Linked DNA regions of Schizosaccharomyces pombe. Changing the gene in region 2 together with the main gene of any one other region gives a genetic interaction. Each region holds a gene or a part of one and is shown on either strand. Other genes may lie near its edges.

Region 1 (10,284 bases), on a different chromosome or scaffold from region 2:
TGAATAGTGCAAAATAAAGTCGTACCTAAAAATATGTTAGAGTTTGCTAATTGATATAAAATGTAAGCTACGCAGTTTGGTATCTGATTTAAGGATACGTAGAGCTGCGGTGAGTTTTCCTTGTGGTCTATTATATTACAATACACAGGTTGTATAAGTAGCAACTGAGTATAGGTATTGTATTAACTGGATTATAATGTTACCTATCACTAATATAGCTCATAACTGAACCTCGTTCCTCAGTTCAGTTGTAACTCTATTTATAATATTTCTAAATAGTTGTTATCAACGGGTATCTATGTATATAGACGAATAGTTACCCGTGATTATCAATAAACGGATCTTAGCTAGTATTCCAACATATGACATATAGTGATACGCAACGTAGTGTATCATAGCGTAGTGTAGTATTGCTGACATAAAATTAATAATAGTATTTTCGTTGCACGTTATAAAAGGAGCAGTGACAAAATGGGTATGTAAGAGGAAATCGCATTTTAGAGATGGGTTTTGAAAGATTTTTTTTTTCTGATACTAGTTGAGAAGCTAAAAGAAACAGTTAGTTCTTTTTTAGAGGTCTATTGATCGCCGCTCTACATTGAATTGTTGATAAAAGAGGTTTTCTTAATAGCTCTTACGTTTGTCGCAATCCCAGCAATTGGTATATTTTTGAGTATATCTTACCTCCATTTAATAAGATGAGCAATAATTATACTTCCTTAAGCAGCTCTTTAGATGAAGAAATGGGATTGAAGGCAGGACATGAAATTGACTTGGAAGGAAGCCCACCTTCAGAGCACAATTCGGAGGAGAAAAGCACATTGCCTTCAAATTCAGGTACGTTATGTTGTTAATATGAAAGAAAACATTATAGTAAAAACTGTATCTTGATGTTATTTAAAAATAACATGTTTGTGATTATTTGGTTACATTCGACTTACTCAAATTTTCGATTCTAAGCGCGGTGAGCTTTTTTTTTCTTTCAAATATAATATAAATTCCTGTTAATGTTTGAAGTTTCAGCATTTACTAATGCATTCAGATATTCTGACGTCCGCTAATCCTGTGTCTCAAGCTTCAGAAACTCCAGATCACAGCATCGAAAGTAATACAGGATCTACGCAATCGCCCACAAGCCATAGTCTACTTCTGAAGTTCTCTTTTTGTATTGTTTATTATTCTTATTTTGCAATTGTTGTGCTTGGTTGCGTGCTTCCTTTTGAGCACACACACACTTTCCTTATAGCTTTTTTGGTTATATTCGGTATAATCTCTGTGATATTGTTTAGCGGCTCAATTTGTAAGCAAATTGTGAGGATGTTATCAGTTCATTCACTAACTCTTCAGACTACTATGAAACTTGGACCAAGACTGTGAAGCACTTTTTGAAAAAAGTGATAAGCCCTTTCAAGAAGGAATACATTGTGTGTGCATTTTTAAAAACTTTTGTTTTCTATGGGCTTTTGAAAACGATTGAACATTTTTTAGTTCTTCTTTCTGGTGATAAATGGGGATGGAAATGCTCAACATTATCTAGCATTCTCACTCCTGTATCATGCATCTCTTTTTGCTTAAATGAATCAGGTTCGTTATTGTAATAATTTAGTTATATTAATAATACAGTACAACTCAGATCATGCAGCACTCATTTGTTCATAAATACCGTGGCATGGATTAAATGTATGTTCTATAAATAATGAGATATTTCTTGCAAAGAATTTTCTATTAACGATATTAAGCTCTTGGTGGCGGAAAAAATGCGTTTGAAAATAACTACAATCAATTGAATGAAACAAGTCCCGAAGACCTAGTTTAGTTTCATTATTGCTTGGTACTGTCAATAGTCGCGAAGCGCTTTTCTCAAAATCTCTTTTCACGAAATATTCAACGCAATGGAGTAACTTTGCAATCATAATGCTTTAATTTGGAAGTTTAAGTATGGTCGATCATTTGCCAACTTTTTGTACTGTATATTTTTATCTCGTTCTTTTGTTATCATTTAATTTGTTGACCAGTGTGTTACTTAAAAGCATTCTACAATGCTACTTGACATGTTTATATGGGATTTTGCATATCCATTATTGCAAGAATGCGTTGATGATGGTTACTATTCATGTCAACCCACGTTGATAAATTGCGATTCTTAGATTGACTATCAAATCAACTAGTGGAATTAGGAAACCTACTGCTCAGTCTGGTTGTATTCATAATTTCGTTTATATTTCTTTCATGATTATTTCTCAAAATTTAAACTCTTTTTTAATGAAACCAAATTCGTCAATGTCTACTTCTTTGTTAATTTGTTTTAGACCAATCTATGTTATTGTTTACTAAATAGCGAGCGACAAAAAAGCTCCTAGGTAATGTTATCTGATGCTAAGATAGTTAAGCTAAACCAGCATAATAGTAAAATACTCAATTGAAGTATAGCCCACTAATTGAACTGATGAATGTAGGCTCAACTGTGTTCTACTAAGTTTAGTATATGTTTATTTAAATTTTTTTCTCAGTTTGATCATTTCAGTTGATGAATATGAATTCTAGTTGGATAACCTCATTAATGGGAATTATATAATAATCAGTGATAGACAATTTTGCGTAATATAGAGATATAACGATATAAAAGTTTACAATGTTTTTACGCACTCATTACAGTTTTTACATTCGTTATACAATTGTTAAAATATAAACATAGAGATCACAATTTTAAGCACCGTAGTTTCAAGTAATTTGCTATCTTGGTTAAAAAATGCGCAACTGCACATTAGCGAATTCTATCTGTTTCTACGTCTGAATCCGCCTTTAATTGTGGCTTATGCCTCCACATGCTAAAACGCACTATTTGGCAATACGTGAAAGACAAATACTTCATTCTTAGTCATCTCATAAAAACTAACTCCTCGGAACCGAGGAGGGTAAACAAGCGCCGAGTGTGCATTTATATTGATTAGACAGGGATTTTTAGTTGTACTTTTCAAATCACTATACTCTTTTGCTTTTTCTTGAATTTTGTTTAGTCGCAGAAGACTGCGCTTGCTTATTAGAGTATTTAGCATTAAGAGGTATTAACTTAACTTCAATTCCCTATCAGGACGTGGAAGAAACGTTTTTACGCCTTTTGACAATTGTCAAAATTTGGGAAAACCCTACTGTGTTAATTGTATTGTAATTTGGTAAGTGTTGTGTGTGTGGATGGATTGAACAAGGAACGATGATGCGAATTGGCAAAATGGTAACATGGCAATATTATTATTGTCTCAGCTCTAATAGTCTGTCTTTACAAGTTGGATGAGAAGGAGAACGATTGAGATGCTGCTTGGCTTTTATGATTATAATGATTATTGTGATAGTTCATGGATGGGTAGGAATATTTTTTTCTTTGTTATTTTTAAGACACATATGCATCTGCAAGCATTCGAGTGAAATAATTTGTTGGCTGATTTTATCCTCACAAGGTTCAACGCTAAATTTTGTTGTACTGGATGCTATAGGCGTTGAAAGTTTCTTGCTTCAATGCTTTTTTTCACTGACCAGATTTTTCCAATTATTAAATAAAAATTTTAACTGGTACAATAATTACGACGATATTCGTTTTATCAATTCCATTCACGTTCTTCTCCCTTTTAGCCTTTTTTATCCATAATTGATGACTTGTTATTTGAACGACTTCTAACCCTTTTCTTAGTGTTACGATTTTAGTTTCCAATTATTTGGTTTAAATTATTTTTTTCATCTTCTACATCTCCGTTTGTTTAAACCTACCTATTTTTCTTAATTTCCATTTTCTACTCTCGATCCTCAAACTGGTTTTCTTAATTTGTTTTAATTTTATAGAATTTGCATAATCATGTCTTTGCATAGTAAAAAATCCACTTCTACGGTTAAGGATAACGAACATTCTTTGGACCTTTCTATCAAAAGCATACCTTCAAATGAAAAAAACTTTTCAACAGAGAAAAGCGAGAATGAGGCTTCTGAAAGCCACGTGGTAGATGTTGTCAAAGATCCTTTTGAACAGTATACTCCTGAAGAACAAGAAATCCTTTACAAACAAATTAATGACACACCTGCCAAACTTTCTGGATACCCTAGAATCCTTTCATACGCCGATAAATGGGATATTATGCTGCAATTGGCAGGCACCATTACTGGTATTGGTGCCGGCCTGGGTATGCCATTGATGTCCCTTGTATCCGGTCAGCTGGCTCAAGCTTTTACCGACCTTGCCTCTGGCAAAGGAGCGTCATCTTTCCAACACACTGTAGATCACTTTTGTCTTTATTTTATTTACATCGCAATTGGTGTCTTTGGCTGTTCATATATTTACACTGTAACCTTTATTATTGCAGGAGAGCGGATTGCCCGTCGTATTCGACAAGATTATTTGCATGCCATTCTTTCCCAAAATATCGGTTATTTCGATCGTCTAGGTGCCGGTGAAATTACCACTCGAATTACTACTGATACAAACTTTATTCAAGATGGTTTAGGTGAGAAGGTCGGATTGGTGTTCTTTGCAATAGCAACCTTTGTATCTGGTTTTGTTATCGCTTTTATTCGTCATTGGAAGTTCACATTGATATTGAGTTCAATGTTTCCAGCCATTTGTGGTGGTATCGGCTTGGGTGTTCCCTTTATTACCAAAAACACCAAAGGTCAAATCGCCGTCGTTGCCGAATCCAGTACATTTGTGGAAGAAGTGTTTTCCAATATCAGAAATGCTTTTGCTTTTGGTACCCAAGATATTCTTGCAAAATTGTACAATAAGTACTTAATAACTGCACAACGCTTCGGTATCAATAAGGCAATTGCAATGGGTTTAATGGTTGGATGGATGTTCTTTGTTGCGTATGGTGTTTACGGTCTTGCATTTTGGGAAGGTGGACGCCTCCTACATGCAGGTGATTTAGATGTTAGCAAATTAATTGGCTGCTTTTTCGCCGTCCTTATTGCTTCCTATAGTTTGGCCAACATTTCTCCTAAGATGCAGTCATTTGTTAGTTGTGCCTCAGCCGCTAAAAAGATTTTCGACACAATTGATCGTGTTAGTCCAATTAATGCTTTTACACCTACTGGTGATGTAGTCAAAGATATTAAAGGGGAGATCGAATTGAAAAATATTCGATTTGTTTATCCTACTCGTCCTGAAGTTTTAGTGCTGGATAACTTTTCTTTGGTATGCCCTTCTGGTAAAATTACTGCTTTAGTAGGTGCCAGTGGTAGCGGCAAATCCACGATCATTGGACTTGTTGAGCGATTTTACGACCCCATTGGTGGGCAGGTTTTCTTAGATGGTAAAGACCTTAGAACGCTGAACGTTGCTTCGCTGAGAAATCAAATATCTTTGGTACAACAAGAACCGGTTCTGTTTGCTACAACTGTGTTTGAAAATATAACTTATGGCCTGCCTGATACAATTAAAGGTACCTTGTCTAAGGAAGAATTGGAAAGAAGAGTTTATGATGCCGCTAAGCTTGCCAACGCTTACGACTTTATTATGACATTACCCGAGCAATTTTCAACTAATGTTGGACAACGCGGTTTCCTTATGTCAGGAGGACAAAAACAAAGAATTGCAATCGCTAGGGCCGTTATTAGTGATCCCAAGATCTTATTGTTGGACGAAGCCACAAGTGCTTTAGACTCTAAGAGTGAAGTGCTTGTTCAGAAAGCTCTAGATAATGCATCGAGATCTCGTACCACTATCGTTATTGCTCATCGTCTTTCTACAATTCGTAACGCTGATAATATTGTCGTAGTGAATGCAGGAAAAATTGTTGAACAGGGCTCCCACAATGAATTGTTAGATCTGAATGGTGCTTATGCTAGACTAGTAGAAGCTCAAAAGCTATCAGGTGGAGAAAAAGACCAGGAAATGGTCGAGGAAGAACTGGAGGATGCTCCGAGGGAAATACCCATAACGTCTTTTGGTGACGATGATGAAGATAATGATATGGCTAGCCTCGAGGCCCCTATGATGTCCCATAATACGGATACTGATACGTTGAATAATAAACTCAACGAGAAAGATAATGTCGTGTTTGAAGACAAAACCCTTCAGCATGTAGCTTCCGAAATTGTTCCAAACCTACCTCCTGCAGATGTCGGTGAACTTAATGAGGAGCCTAAAAAGTCCAAAAAGTCAAAGAAAAACAACCATGAGATTAATTCGTTAACAGCGTTATGGTTCATTCATTCTTTTGTACGGACAATGATAGAGATTATTTGTCTATTAATTGGTATTTTGGCTTCTATGATTTGTGGTGCAGCTTACCCTGTTCAGGCAGCTGTTTTTGCAAGATTTCTCAATATCTTCACTGATCTCTCATCCACAGACTTTTTACACAAAGTAAACGTGTTTGCTGTTTATTGGCTTATTCTAGCTATTGTTCAATTCTTCGCTTATGCAATTTCCAATTTTGCAATGACTTATGCAATGGAAGCAGTTTTGCAAAGAATTCGTTATCATCTATTTCGAACATTGCTTCGTCAAGATGTTGAGTTTTTCGACCGTAGTGAGAACACAGTTGGTGCTATTACTACTTCTTTATCAACGAAAATTCAGTCTTTGGAGGGATTGAGCGGCCCGACTTTAGGAACCTTTTTCCAAATTTTGACCAATATCATTTCAGTTACGATTTTATCTTTGGCTACAGGATGGAAGTTGGGTTTGGTGACCCTTTCGACCTCCCCTGTTATCATTACTGCTGGTTATTACCGTGTACGTGCTCTTGATCAAGTCCAAGAGAAGTTGTCTGCTGCCTACAAAGAGTCAGCTGCGTTCGCATGCGAGTCAACTTCAGCCATTCGTACAGTCGCTAGTCTTAATCGCGAAGAAAACGTTTTTGCTGAGTATTGTGATTCTCTCATCAAACCTGGCCGTGAGTCGGCAATCGCATCATTGAAATCTGGTTTATTCTTTTCTGCTGCTCAAGGTGTTACCTTTTTGATTAACGCATTGACATTTTGGTATGGTTCTACCTTAATGCGCAAGGGCGAATATAACATCGTTCAGTTTTATACTTGTTTTATTGCAATTGTCTTTGGTATACAACAAGCTGGTCAATTCTTTGGTTACTCAGCAGATGTAACAAAAGCAAAGGCTGCTGCCGGTGAAATTAAGTATTTGTCCGAATCAAAACCTAAAATTGATACATGGTCGACGGAAGGAAAGAAAGTTGAATCCCTTCAAAGTGCAGCAATTGAATTCAGGCAAGTTGAATTTAGTTACCCTACCAGAAGGCATATTAAAGTTCTTCGTGGTTTGAACCTCACTGTGAAGCCCGGGCAGTTTGTCGCATTCGTAGGATCTTCTGGCTGTGGTAAATCTACGACCATTGGGCTTATCGAGCGTTTCTACGATTGCGACAATGGAGCTGTATTGGTGGACGGTGTTAATGTTCGTGACTATAACATTAACGACTACCGCAAACAAATTGCCCTTGTCTCTCAAGAGCCAACGTTGTACCAAGGTACTGTTCGTGAGAACATTGTTTTGGGCGCATCTAAAGATGTCTCTGAAGAAGAGATGATTGAAGCTTGCAAGAAGGCCAATATTCATGAGTTTATTCTTGGATTGCCCAACGGTTATAACACACTTTGCGGTCAAAAGGGCTCTTCCTTATCTGGTGGTCAAAAACAGCGTATTGCCATTGCTAGAGCATTAATTAGAAATCCAAAGATTCTCCTTTTAGATGAAGCAACCAGTGCTTTAGACAGTCATAGCGAAAAGGTCGTTCAAGAAGCTTTAAATGCCGCCTCTCAAGGTAGAACCACGGTAGCAATTGCTCATCGTTTGTCTTCTATCCAAGATGCAGACTGTATTTTCGTATTTGATGGTGGTGTTATCGCTGAAGCTGGTACTCATGCCGAGCTTGTTAAACAGCGCGGTCGTTACTATGAACTTGTGGTTGAACAGGGATTGAACAAAGCATAATTTATTTGAAAAGGGTGATACCCGACAAGAGCCCTTTTTTTGTCTTTCTGATCAGTAAAAGGGTTTCCATTGTTTAGATTAACTCCCTCATATATCGTTAAGTTATTTCCGAATTTCCTTTATTTAGGTCATGTATACTATTATGCGATGAAGCATGACCAATGCTATTAAATTACTTAATATTTCCTTATTTTGAAAATGGATGTTTGTCGTTTGTCTTCTAGATATGTCTTCATCCATAGTCAGGTTTGTGTTTTATTCCAAAAACTTGTCAATTTCAAGGATTGAATAACAAGGTTACTTTTTAGGCATTATGGCCTTACTAGCAATGTAAGGAATTTTAATGTCTGTGCTATTTAATGTTGTTTGGTCAACTGATTAATTTAATTTGCTAACGTGCAAATAATTGTCTATTTTATCGTAATCGGTACGATGGCATTTTACTCTTACCATTAACTTTGATTCATAATGAATAATGGATTCGTTTTTTGTTTTTTTATTGACCCTCATAAGTACGGATTTCGTAGTTTTTCAAATTGTAAATAGTAGTAACAAAATAGAAGTTTTTTGACTTGGGAACTTCTTTGTACCTCAATGCTTAAAATATGAGCTTCTAGCCCAAATGTAAAATTAATAGCAAGTTTACTTTGATATGATTGAACCAAATATTACTTACTAACACTACTTTCTTGAATGCGTCTGCCTTTTTCTAACAACAAGCTTTTGGACTAACTGAAATATATTTAATTATTTCTTCAGTATCTCAATTCTAGTTTAAATAACGCTCTGACGGCATATTTCACAAAACAGTTTTAACGGTTACTAGCAATATGTACCATAGTATGTTGAAATTATTCCTTAAATCCTACAAAAACCTTCAAAAGACAGTCACAGTTGTGAAAAAAGAGCAGTCACATTCGCTTTAGTTGCGTGGATGCAACACTCTGTCTTCCACAAAATGCCTTCTCACAAGAGTTTCCGTACCAAGCAAAAGCTTGCCAAGGCTGCGCGTCAAAACCGCCCCATTCCTCAATGGATTCGTCTTCGCACCGGAAACACTGTTCATTATAACATGAAGAGAAGACACTGGAGACGTACCAAGTTGAACATCTAAAATGGTATGTCGACAAAATCAACCGACGCCTTTGCTTGTGGAGTAACTGTTTTCTAACTGAGATAGCGTTCGTGTACATGAAGTTATGGATTGCTTTATGCGTATCCTACGTTTTACGTGTGCAAAAATAGAAAATGGATCCATTCTGTTTGAGCGAAAAATTTCTATATAAACGCAATGTATCTGTTGTCTTCAATAACTATGTAAACAGTTCCATGCAAGTCGTAAGGATTGTCGTGTAATATAGTAGAGTTGAATGATCTGTAAATAAAACGATTTTAAGTGTACTTTAATTTTCTAGTAGTTGGTGGCGGCGCGGCCTGACCTGGTAGGAAAAACTTTTGACTTGTAATTGTCGGGATAGATGAGTTTTTGTTTTTATTTAAAGAGCTTGAAAAATTTATACTCATTTCAATTTCGACAAAGTTTGTAAGTTATTTTATTAAAATACTTTGTAACAAATAAAATGACTGCAGGATGATTTGTCCTCCTGCATTGTTTTACGCTACAGGGTTTTTTTAGTACATAGGGTATCAAGAAGCTTTCAACACATCTTAAGTCTACTTGTGTAAGGAAAATATTTACAAATTTAAAACTTGACCAGAAGTAAAAAAAATAAAACAAAAATTTAATGGTAGTCATGCAGAACTTCAATTGAGTATAGATTAGTCAAAAACGAGCTAGCTGTGCTAAAGTTCAGTGCCAGTGACGTTGAGCTTAAAAAATAGAAAATAGAATAGAAAAAGATGAAATGGCAACACATTTGGCAGAATGATGTCCAAGGAAATCGATGGGAACATCAAAGGGTCAGAAACAAGAGAATAAAGCGTGAAGGTGTTCAAAGCCCACCTACCCACTTGCAATGAAGGTTGAGCGAGACGCAATAAGTTTTAAATGATAATTGGAGGGTCTTTCTTTTTTTTTTCTTCGCTCAATGAAAAAGGAGATAAACAAAATTGCAATAATTCATGTCTTTTAATAACGATATTAATTAGACAACTCGAAAAGGTATGTGGGTCGAAAGGCGTGTGGGGAACTCAAGAGGGCAATCAGAAAGTAAAGCCAACGTGTTTTATAATACGATGGGGAAAGCGAGGGATGGATCAATCCAACCAACAGCGACCAGTACAAGGGAATTTCTCTACGTAAAAAAATGCTAAAGGCCGCTAAAGGGCTGATCCATCCAACGGAAAACAAACACTTAAAGTAATCCAGTCATTCGTCCAAAAACTTT
Region 2 (6,185 bases):
ACAACTTGGGTGCTTTGAAGAATGTTTGGTTGAAAACTAGGTTGATAATCTTCTGTACCCATTTGAGAATATCTTTTACTACCTGTAGAGGTGTAAGAGTGTGTAGTGCCGGAAGTAGTTACACCATTCGCATGAGAGTAACGGCGTGGAGGTTCATTGATTACATCTGTGCGAGGAACGACACTAGCTTGAAATTGTGTTTGATAATGACTTTGAGAAGGCAAACCATCAATGTCGGTAAGGGGTTCAGGAGTTTGGAAAGGATTTTGCCAATTAGCCAACTCACGTTCAGCCTCAACAATATAGTCACGGGTTATGTTGTAACCATCGTAAATAGGGCGAGGCTCACCGGGAACAATGGGAGTATCGTCCAGGAGATCGAGGATCTTCTTGGCATACCCGCAAAGAATAGCAACCTTTTCAGAATGCTCAAGTAATGTACCAATATGAAGAGTAAAAGCACGTTTAAAGTTTTCGCGGGTAATGTTAGTTAACTGCGCTTCTGCAACCAAACACGCAGCTTCCTCACGAACTAGTTCCTGTTCCATAGTAATAAGCTTTGGGGACTCAGGATCACGGCTTCTAACATCATAAATGGAGTTAAGTAGCTTTTCTTTCTTAACACGGGTGGGTTGAACGCTAGCCTCAATATCACGGATGGTCTTCAGACTAACACGATATTGATCGTATCTGTCTACCATATGCTCCTCAAGTTCGCCAATTTCATATAAAAGTACACCAAGCTTATCACTGATATCGCTAATATCATCATCGCAATCTTCACCCCAATACGAAAGTTGATTGGCACATTCTTTGCGCTCCATGGCAACGTTTTCATAAGATCGAAGTAAATCCTTTTCCATCTTAACGAGAGCTGCAAGGCGTTTAGCCATTTCGGGAGTAAACATACCCACAGATGGATAACGGAATTGTCTGCCGAGTTTATTAACATTTACTGCACGACGGGTAGTAGAGGGAGGAATTTGATTCTGTTTCGCTTTAGGAGGCGCGCGAAGCGTATGAATAGAGTAAGATGGTTGAGTGCCCATCATCTTGCTAATTACTTGATAAACGATTTAAGACTTTGAAAATATGTATATATAAAAAGAGAAAGGAAATACTAATAAAAAGGTTAGTATGTTAATTAGAGGTAGGTTGAAACAATGTTCATTAAAACATACTTAATCCGCCAACTCACACTAGACAAAGCGAAGTATAAATAAGGTCAGGCTCAAAATGGACTTATTAGACTACACTTTCGAAAGTAACAAAAGAGCTGTAAAGTTCAGGTAGATTTTTAGCGACTTGAACCCATGTTTTAAAGATTTGAGCTAGGCTTGAGACGTCACTATGTCAACATGGAATTTATATGTCGAAAGCATAATGTCATTATTGTCCGTACACTGAATGCGACACCTAAACAATTGAAAATTAATAAGGACTTGTCAATCAGCAAACATATAGATATCTTAATCATTTCCCTCCTCTATGACAATTAGCAATTTCATAAAAATGAACGAACAAAATAGCTTATGATACATTATGAAAAGATATGAGATCACAAATAAATCATTGAGAAACTTTTGACCAACACTCGACAAGTATTCATAGTTGTTTATGCAACGTAATGAATAGGTATAATAAATTAATAGATATGGGCAAAACAACCATCACTATGCTAAAAAATTCGTAACTGAAGCCACCATTTTTACCTAGGACTCACATTCCAAAATGGATCTCTTACGTCGTTGTGAGCTATTGGTAGGAATACTTTGATAATCCTGAATACCAGTAGATGTTAACTGAAAAGCCAACTCTGATTCTGCAGAATGAGCTGGTGGCTGCTTTGCCATGAATGCATAGCGCAGAAGCTGATGAGAGGGACGACTCTGTCCATCTTTTGATTCTTCAGTTGAATGCCTACTGTAAAGAATGAGCCGATAAGATAGATTATCTAACCAATTAGTGCTGAGAAGCGGTATCAACTTAGCACCTATCCCACTAACAACTTTTGAAGTCATCTGGGTGGTAACAAAGATAGCCACATAACAAGAGGATGTAATTTTGCTTAACAAAGAACTGATTGTACCGATTGCCTTTTTTCTGCGGTTTATTGTTGTTTTGGTAGAGGAGTTATGAAATGCAAAATTCGAGTCGTCTTTACTCGAGAACTCATTTTCTTTGTTTAACGTCAAAGTGTTTTCTTTTTGAGATGAATCTGAAAGGGAGCTTTTTTTGCTGGTATTACGACGAAGACGTAGATAAGCATAATCTTCTGGACTGGTTGGATATGCAAGTTGAATAGGCATTGATAGGTTGTCAATAATTAATAATCCAATTTCTTTAAGATGTTTTTCTTGATCGAAATTTCGTAAAAAAGCTAGAATATTCACTAAATTGGGTGCATATACAACATCGAGAAGATTTAATAACTCATCAGTATCGCATTTTTCCTCTTCATCTTGGGAAGAAGGGACGTGATTGTCTAATAGTTGACGAAGTCTCTCCATGGGAATTGGTTGACAAGTTTCGACCCAAATCACACGAGAACCGGAAAGAAGAGCGTTTGCAGTAATCTGTAAAGCCAAACTTGTTTTTCCCATCCCAGGTGCTCCACATACTTCAGAAATATACCCTCTTTTAAGACCACTTCCTCCAAACGCATCATCCAATAATTTTGAATTAAAGCCGAAACCTGGAGCAGAAAATGCTTCGTACGCACGAATAGCAGGTTGAGTCACTAGACGATCTAAAAAGTATTAGACACAGTTAGCTAGGCTGGAAGTCGCATACGTTGACTAGACAGCATTTATTTCAATGAAGGTTAAATCCAGCACAGTGCGACCTACTAGAATAACAGCGATACAGTTTATATTAAATTGATAACAGCATAAAAAGGATATAGGAAAATTTCCCTTTACATGAGAAACAACGATACGTTGTAAGGTTTGGAGGTGTTGGTAGAACGACAAAGGAAATCCTACGTGTTTTACTTTGCAATCATTTCATTAAATGTTGTTTCTTATAAGGAATAAATTATTTTAGTCTTAAGGTTAAGCAGATTAGAAGGTAACAAATTCGTAACCTTTATACATAATGGGAAATTTGACTAGGTAGGTCAACAGGAATGCAAGAGTAAGCTCAAGTTCATTTGAATCTATGATTCATTACTGCCTTTGACTTTGAACTTTAAACTTTGGGTTCATATAACGCAACATTTACATTTGTATTGAAACTCAAGAGGGTTTTAATCAAAATAGCTATTATTTTCGTACTACATTCCGTTTATGAAATAGCGTGTCGACCGATATGTGTGCAATTAGTTTACTATGTACACAATACTCATTTTATTGAAGAAATACTAAAATGGAAAATTATTAACAAAAATCGATTGCATGCCATGCTTCAATAAACGTATAAGCTCGTCAACGAAAAGAAATTGACGGAAGTTCCCATTTTCAAAGTACAATACAAGCAGTATTTATTTTTCAAAAATTTAAAATCGGTTAGATTTTTTCTTAAAGTTATGTATAAACAAGGTCTCATATACTAATAATATGTGTATATATTAGATTTCGTTGATAAAAAAGGTTCGTACCACTACACTAAATTACGCCCTCCAGTAGAACATAGGAGCTGGGGTACTACAATTTTTTCTTTTAGGCATTTACTAATCAAGTTCTGCCAAGTCATTGCCATAGTTAAGCATTTTCTCTTTTCAGAATTGAAATTCTGTAATATAGAAAAAGAATTTTAAATTTATGGAAATTGGTATGAACTTGGTATTTTACTAACATAAACGGGGAAAATGAGCCATGAATTTTCACCTGAAAATACGGCGGTTCTGTTCGAAGCCATGAAGCAGGAGCAGCATAATAGGAGACGTCGTGTTCCTATGGAGAGACGAAGAAGGGTGGTTCTAGCCTGCTTTAACTGCAAAGCCCGGAAAGTTCGTTGCGACGGGGCAAACCCATGCAAAGCTTGTGCTTCCAATAATTTGGAATGCACATATCCAGTAAAGGATGAAAAAGAAATGGATTATTCTAAGGACTACTTTATTGATCTTTCAAAAAGATACAAGTGTTTAGAATATATTGTTGAACGTCTTTGTTCCACCAAAGTTTCGACTTATACTACACCTTCATTGATTGAAGTTTGCAATCGTATAAGCAACCAAAAATCACTATTATCTTCAGATGTCTTTTCCCTCAATAGTGAAAGCACCAATAGTCAACGTGACGTGGATACCCTTACACAAGGTGCACTTGTTTGTTCACAAATTCAGCAAGATCCAACGGTCGTAGCAGAGGATACGAACAATGGAATCAATGCTGATGCTAGCGATCAAAGCGTTGACGAAATCATGAAATTAATTGGAAAAATAAAAGTTGACTCTAACGGCGAATCCCGTTATATAGGAGCTTCTGCTGGTGAAGCATTCGTTGACTCTGTTCAAAGTGAACTACTTGTCGATCCTTCTTTTTCCGAGCTGAGCGCGTATTCCCATACCCATCACAGTTATCCTCCGAATGAACATGATGTAAATGCTGTTCAAAAAGCGCTGAGTCTTCTCCCTCCTCCTGAAGTTTCAGATTTTCTTATCAAATCTTTCTATGGCCATGTTCAAGCAAATTTTTTCTTTTTCCATGAAACATTACTTCGTTATCGTTTAAACCTTATCATGAGCTTCCAAAATCCATCCGTTGACCCTGGCTTTCTTTGCTTGCTAATGATGATCTTTGCACTTGGTAGTATGTTTGCTCACATGGAAATTCGTTCTGCTAGCAATCCTTTTGACAACCCAGGAAAACAGTTTTTTGATACTGCTAGGCTTTTGTTACCACAAGTAATTCAGCAATGCAAACCAAGCTTGGTTCAGGCTTCCATACTTATGGGGTTGTATCTTCAGTCTACACTTTCCCAAAAGAGTTCCTATACTTACTTCGGACTTTCTTTATCTGCTGCTGTCGCAAACGGGTTGCATCGTAGCTGTGAAAATCCAAATATTGATCCCAAGACCAAAGAACTTCGTAATCGCCTATGGTGGTCGGTTTATACCATGGATCGCTTAATCAGTATTGCTACAGGACGTCCACTTTCTATTGCGGACAGCGAATGTGATGCGGCATTACCAACAGTAGTGCCTGAATTGGAAATAGAAGGTTCTGCTTCCAACGTTCATAATATCATATCTATGTCTAAAATTGCGAAAATAATGGGAAAAACTATGGAACAACTTTATGGAACTGTCAATTATAAAAAGAATCCAATAAACATAATTGAATCCCTTCGCGCCGATCTTGAAGAATGGAAGCGTTCTTTACCACCATTTCAGATTTTGGAAAATCTTGATGCTGAAGACCCACTTTTTCGTGCAAATGTGCATTTACACATGACATATGACCAAGCTATTATCATCATGTCTCGACCTGTTTTACTACATAAAATGAAAAATGCAAAAAATTCTCCGCGTGTCGATCGTATCAATGAAGACTGCATTTTAGCTGCCAGGCACTTAATTTCACTCGTACATTTACTTCAGAATCATTCTCAACTCTCTTGTTACTCTTTCTTTGACTATAATTATACCTTCTCAAGTGCGCTGGTGGTTTTGCTTCACTGTGTTACCGAACCTTGTGAAGAAGATGACATAGCAATGCAGTATGCTTACTCAGCTCTCGACTATATGGCAGAAGGGAATGAAGCTGCCAAGAATTGTGCTAGAGTTATTCGACTCTTTGATGCTCATCTCAAAGGAGCTCGCTCTGACGGTAATGGGAATACTAGCCAATCTGGTTTCATGGCGTGGCAGCGCTGGATCGCGGAAGTCTCTGCTAAAGACGAACCTGAAAAACTTATGAGTCCTTACAATAAAAGTATCGGTGGGGGAAGAAATAGTAATTCTTTGACTCCCAATGCAAATTTAGGTGCAGATGTTTCGTTCTTTCCAACTGATGATACATCTTTCCTTTTGGACCACAGTAAACTGGATGATGATCTAGAAAAGTTTGCTAGCACTTTGGATCCTATAAAGACAACGCCTGATCTTGCCAACGATTCATCTTTGTTAAACTGGGCTAATACCGATCAAGGCATGGATATCGAAGGTAGTTGGCTAGGTAATATGCATCCTACTTGGCTAGATTACGTTTGTCCATAACATTTTTGATGTTTCCATATTTATC
Region 3 (6,066 bases), 890 kb from region 2:
CAATACAGGCGCCGATATTCGCCATAAAATGAGTTATACGATTAGTAGATTTTTGATATGATGGGCTTGTATTAGCCCTAAATTTGAAAGTATATAAAGGCCAGTTTCACTGTCTTAGAACCGTAGCTACAAGAAATTATGAAAAGTGTTGAATGGTTTACATGGGGAGTTTTTCTGCTACTTTCTGGCTTTGGAGAAGCTGGGAGGATGGGCTTGGGCTTTCAGGAGAAGAATCCAGTTTTCGTAAAGGAAAAACAATCACCATTCTATGCTGTACCTAGTAACTATGAGGAAGTAGAATTCTCAAGTATAGTCGAACCTATGTATTCAGGGATTGCGACGTTTGGTCGTTTGGAGAATGTTGAATGTTTGAGTAAAAGGTCAGAGGACTTTGATATTGCCTTTATAGGAATGCCTTTCGATACAGGCACTTCTTACCGCCCTGGTGCTCGATTTGGTCCAAGCAGTTTGCGTGAAGGATCTCGACGCATAAATACTAAATACGGTGCAGTGAATGTACCTCTTGAAATCAATCCTTTCAAATCATGGGCAAAGCTTGTGGATTGTGGAGATATTCCAGTCACCACGTATGATATTCTTAAAGCTATGGATCAGTTAGAAAGTGCATATTTCCAGCTAATAGCTCGAAAGCCCTCCAGTTTTACTGACCATGATGGATTTGCAAAAAATGATACTGTGCTTCCTCGAGTCCTTTCACTCGGTGGTGACCATACCATTGTCCTTCCCATCTTACGAGCTTTGCATCGTGTTTACGGACAACCTATTTCAGTTATTCATTTCGATAGCCACTTAGACACGTGGGCTCCTGGATTGATTGGCGATGGCGATGAAGCAGATGGAATAAACCATGGTTCTTATTTCTACTTTGCTAGTCAAGAAGGTATTATGAGCAAAGATGCCAACATTCATGCTGGCATTCGTACTCCTATCTCTAGTTTCTCTGACTACGATGATGATGTTGATTGTGGTTTCAAAATCATTGAGGCTCGTGAAATTGATGATTTGGGGATTGATGGTATCGTCAAAAAGATTCGTGACAGAGTTGGTGATAATTTGGTATATTTATCCATTGATATTGATGTGCTTGATCCTGCATTTGCACCCGCTACGGGTACTCCTGAAACTGGCGGTTGGTCATCTAGAGAAATGAGAGCAATTTTACGTGGTTTGCAAGGTCTGAAATTCGTAGGCGCTGACCTTGTCGAAGTAGCTCCCGCTTACGATGTTGCAGAAATAACATCCTTGGCTGGTGCGCAATTGTTATTTGACATTGTATCTATGATGGTGAAATATCCTTTGGTAAAAGAGGCTGATTTATCTCGTTACATGCCAATACATAAATAATTGAAATAACTGGTTTATTTAATATTCAATATTTATATCGACATCATAGATACAGATACAGAAATGAGCATGTTCAAAAAAAATCATTATTCATTATATTATTAACATATCATACGCAAGTATATCGTTAGAGACAGCTGAGCGTCATCTATCTTGTATCACATAAAGTAAAAGACAAATGTAGCAGAAACGGGTTTTCTTAACCACCCAAGAGTGTTTTGTAAATATTTGCAAATGAACCCATTAAAACATCTCATCTCCCTTTTGTTATTTTTGCCATCATTCACCAAAAAATCACTTCTTTTATATAAGCGTAATGTGACGAAAATGCTTCGTCTGAGTGGACGTAGACATTCTATTCAGAAATGATTGAAAAGATACTATAAATTGGTAAACCAAAAATAAAAAGAAGCGTACATAAAATGTAAAAGACCAACCAGGAATAAACTTATCGAATTCAACTTTTTACTTTTAAATATATAATACATCTGTCCTTCAGTGTTTCTTCGGCCTAACAGGCTTTGTATAATCGGCAAGTTTTGACGTTTTCCAGAGATACCATGCTGCTGCAGTACGAAAAGGTGCACATATTTCACTATGCTTAAGAACATACATCTTGGTTGGAATTTTTGGTAATCGGTGTAGATATCGGTATCCATTACGAATACTCAAATCGTCAGCTGGCATAACATCATCACGATTCAACGAAAAGATGAGTAACATTTCTACTGTCCATCTTCCGATTCCTTTAATCTGAGTAAGTCGTTCTATCAATTCTTCATTTGAGAGCCTTTCAGCTTCTTCTTTAGTAGGAATCAAACCGCTGATTGTTGCCTCAGCAATGCTTTTTAATGAATCAATTTTACGAGCTGAAAATCCACAGGCACGCATTATTTCAAAATCCATATCACGAATTTCCTCTGGTGTTGGAAATTGGCCATTGTTAGAAATACTTTTAAAGCGATTGAAAATTGCGTTAGCAGCTTTACTATGCAATTGTTGAGATGCTACCGCACGAATTAATTCTTCATAAGGCTCTTTTTTCTCCATACTTCGATTGGGTCGATAATTACCAACGAGCTTCACGAGCCGTTTCCAATTCTCATCCAATCCAGAAAGATGGATTTCTGCTTTTGTGAGTGAAGTGACTATCTCTTCTTTCTCTTCAATGTCCAAAGTCATAATAGCAAAGATTCAATTGATCAAAAATTTATCACTCATTATGTGCTTTTGACTAAACGGTAAGGGTTTTCATTCCTTAGGAATTGCACTGCAATTCGTTATTTATGTAAGCAAGTCCTAAGCTAAAAAAAAGGAATCTTGAAGCAAATTCAACATTCTTAGATGTAATTTGAAACTTCAATTAAATTTTCATCTGGATCGCGAAAATAAATAGAGAGGATAACTCCTTCAGCTCCAGCCCTTGTAATAGGACCTTCTTCTATGAGAACATTTTGCTTTTTTAAGTGAGCAATGACTTGCTCTAAGGGTGTTTTAGCTATTAGGCAAATATCATTTGACCCAGGAGTCAGTATGTGTGATTTTGGGTCAATCTCATTACCCTTTTGATGCAAGTTGATTTTTTATGACCGAAACCGAGTGCCTTGCGATTGTTTCCAAATGCGATAACCGACATTCCTAATGTGCGCTCATAGAACTCACAGGTGGCTTCTACGTCTTGGACAGTGAAAACAATATGGTGGAAACGATCAATTTATATAATATCTTTTTCCATTAGTTAGTATCAAAGATCTTTTATAGATGTAAAATGTTGTAAAGGAGAGTCAGAGGAAACTAACCACTTCCGTTAAACAAGTAACAACTCTTCGACCTTAGAGTATATGACAGATTAAAGAAATATTGGGCGTTCAATAAGGCATAAAATGGATAAAACGATGGAATAGCTATAAAGAAAGCATAGTGTTTTAAGAATTATTCATCCACCTTACTAAGCTTACTTTCTCTAATTAGCATTGACGTTGAACATAAAGAAGCTTTGCAGTTGTCTTCATAATACAATTGAAGTAACTATACGCCTTAATTTACAATGACAGAAGTATGGAGATGAATATTGTTATATAATCTTAACACGTATAAAATGGATAAATGCGCTATGAAGGGAATGGGATAAACATTAAGTCTTAATTTGTAAAACAGTAGATTAGTAACTGGAATTGTTCTCAATATACCTTTTATAGCATTTCAAAAGTAACTTCAAAGATAAAAAATATCACAAAAGTTATCAAACTCCAACTTTGAGGAAGCTTTTGATAGCTTAAGGGTATGCTTTTGAATTTAAAACATTACTTTTGTTAAATCTCCATTGCGAGATTTTGTCGAATATTTCATCCGGATCACAATTATCTAAACTGTTCTACGTGACTTTTAGCGCTAAAGTCATATTCTATGTATTACGAATCTTTATTGATCAATGAAGCTTCTTAAAGCCGTTATAAGTTGATTTATCAACCATTTCAAAGCTTCTGGTGAAGATTTTGGCCCGACATTATGTGTAGCTCCCGGTATGATGCCGCTTAAGGAACTATTAGAAGTTGTAGGACGAATTGATTCGCGAAATCGGTTCAGTAATTGTGCTTTATCAGTTGATGGCGAGACGAACTCGTCCCTTTCCGACATAAGCAGTATCAACTGACTATGTGCTGTGGAGCCGGAGATTTCTTTGAGATTACCAAAAGTTTTAGCGAAATCATCGGCGCTCAGGTCAGAGGAGAAAAAGTCATCATTTCCGCGGACATCTGTCAAGTCAATGCATCGATTTGCAGATGTCGGAACTTCACCAAAAAAATTCTCTACCTTGCTTCTAGGTAAAACATCATTTCCTAGTCCTTTGTCAAGATATTCTGCTTTAACCCAGTCAACCAATTCCTTTGTTTTTTCTTTCCCGTTAAATTGATACGCGGCTTCTCTATCCGATACTGGAGCTTGTGCTATTCCGGCGATTAAGTAGTTTGGAAGAATGGACTGTGTAAGATAGTATAGTACATTCTGCGATCCCGTGGAATGTCCCATCAAAACGATTTTGCGAGTAGAAAAGTCCGCGCCTCCAATGTGCAAAAAATAGTCCACTGCCTTGTGTAAATCCTCGTCATCTCGTTTCAAACTTCCCGTTCCCCATCCTATATACGAGGACTGAGTTTGAACCTGTACAATACTCCAACCAATTTCATCTAATGGATTGACCAGTTCTTGAACATATGGTACTGTCAAAAGACCATCGCCAAGTCCCCCGACAAATAACAATAATGATCGAGTTACGTTGGATGTAAGTGTAACGTTACTTTTTCCAACTAGCTCGAAAGCAACAAGCCTTTCTGTGTACTCATGGAGAATACCAGGATGCGAGGCTGACATCGTGCAATAAATAAAAGAATCAAATTTTTAGATGTTGAAAGTTGAATAATTTTCGCCTAACCTTACAAAGTAGATATTCATACGATGCTCAAATACGAGATATGAGCAAGGATTATATCTTATCCATTATCAGCAAAACAACAACTAAGCTCACTATTTTGATCGCGTGCTTTATAATATAATTACAATCCGGTTTACAATCAAGTTTAAGATATGATTATAGAAATCTCATATAGAAGGATTGAATTAGTAAATTTAGGTATTGAAGCTTGGAGTTGATTGTACAAAAGTTAATCAATTCAAGAGTTTAAGGCGTTCGAAACTATTTGCTTAGTATTTTCCAAAAATTATTGTTTATAGATCATTCAGCTACTATAAAGTACGAATTTTGCAATTCCTTCTTTTGCTTTTGCTTTATGTAGCTTTCCATAAACCACTATGGATTTCAAATAATGATGGTCGCAGTTGGAACGAATTCACAAACCCAGCTTGGTAAAATGATTAATGAGAAAGAGATATATCGCTCTAAATGAAAGTTGGATAACATTATTACTAGCAGAAAAGTGGATATGTGCGATAATACAAGTTTAAAGATGCATACAATGGCAATTAACGATTTGAGTGGTGTCAATTTTGATTTGTATGATGTATCCAATCGAAAAAGATTGAGTAAGTTATATCTTGTACTGAACATCATAAAATTGCAATTAGACGAAAATACAGTAAACGTTTATCTACTCACTACAATTACTACTACTGAGAGAATACATTACAATAAACCTTTTCACAACAGTGACCACATAACTAAACAAAAGTGATTTTTATTTTCACATAGAATAAATTATGTAAGACGATAAACGACTACAATTAACCAGGAGTTTCAAGACCGTGTTTGAGATAACTTATCTAAAGGGATTAGCTTTTCGCAGCAAATCGCATTAACAGGAGAGTTTCATACGTAAAGACCCGTCTTTTTCGTCAATTAATAGGGATCAAAAAACGAGAGAATTTAAGCAAAGTATTGAAGGAACTTGACACCGATGTCTCCAACAACTTGGGTCTGAGTGGGCAAAGTACCGTTGGGGAAAGAGTTCAAGGTAGTGTTCAAAGCACTTGCAAAGGTGAAGGCAGGCTCAACGAGAGGGCTGTAACCAGAAGTGAAAGTAGCGACACATTGTCCATAAATATAGAAGGGACCATAGTTGGGGAAAGCGGAAAGGGGAGCATACTTCCAGCTCTCGATGGTGCTAGCCAACTTGTAGCAGTCGCTCTTGGTTTGAGTGTCAATGAAAAGGGTGGCATTAGCAGCACCGGTGGTGTTGCTGCTGA

What was found.
Region 1: of rad55 (region 2) and pmd1, changing one enhances a phenotype caused by changing the other (phenotypic enhancement), as found in Schizosaccharomyces pombe (one study listed by BioGRID).
Region 3: of rad55 (region 2) and mag1, a mutation in one rescues a mutant of the other (synthetic rescue), as found in Schizosaccharomyces pombe (one study listed by BioGRID).

The regions. Positions count from the first base shown.
Region 1 is NC_003421.2:1,632,127-1,642,410, forward strand, and holds pmd1 (leptomycin transmembrane transporter Pmd1), read left to right. Parts: upstream 1-2,966; 5' UTR 2,967-3,173; exon of another isoform or gene 3,174-3,400; intron 3,401-3,585; exon of another isoform or gene 3,586-3,685; 5' UTR 3,686-3,847; coding exon 3,848-7,936; 3' UTR 7,937-8,445; downstream 8,446-10,284. Other genes in the region: wtf element Wtf15, read left to right, coding at 699-837, 1,043-1,300, 1,348-1,584, 1,624-1,680, 1,740-1,816; rpl39 (60S ribosomal protein L39), read left to right, coding at 8,895-9,050.
Region 2 is NC_003424.3:2,064,956-2,071,140, forward strand, and holds rad55 (DNA recombination mediator, RecA family ATPase Rad55/Rhp55), read right to left. Parts: upstream 2,960-6,185; 5' UTR 2,810-2,959; coding exon 2,794-2,809; intron 2,750-2,793; coding exon 1,713-2,749; 3' UTR 1,487-1,712; downstream 1-1,486. Other genes in the region: eisosome BAR domain-containing protein Pil2, read right to left, coding at 1-1,049; SPOM_SPAC3C7.04 (transcription factor), read left to right, coding at 3,809-6,160. UniProt on the Schizosaccharomyces pombe protein: Required for radiation resistance and meiotic viability and acts in recombination and recombinational DNA repair pathways.
Region 3 is NC_003424.3:2,952,278-2,958,343, forward strand, and holds mag1 (DNA-3-methyladenine glycosylase Mag1), read right to left. Parts: upstream 2,588-6,066; 5' UTR 2,548-2,587; coding exon 1,861-2,547; 3' UTR 1,451-1,860; downstream 1-1,450. Other genes in the region: SPOM_SPAPB24D3.03 (agmatinase), read left to right, coding at 139-1,365; SPOM_SPAPB24D3.06C (uncharacterized protein), read right to left, coding at 3,787-4,737; SPOM_SPAPB24D3.07C (uncharacterized protein), read right to left, coding at 5,747-6,066. UniProt on the Schizosaccharomyces pombe protein: Hydrolysis of the deoxyribose N-glycosidic bond to excise 3-methyladenine or 7-methyladenine from the damaged DNA polymer formed by alkylation lesions. Can release ethylated and propylated bases from DNA in addition to 3-methyladenine.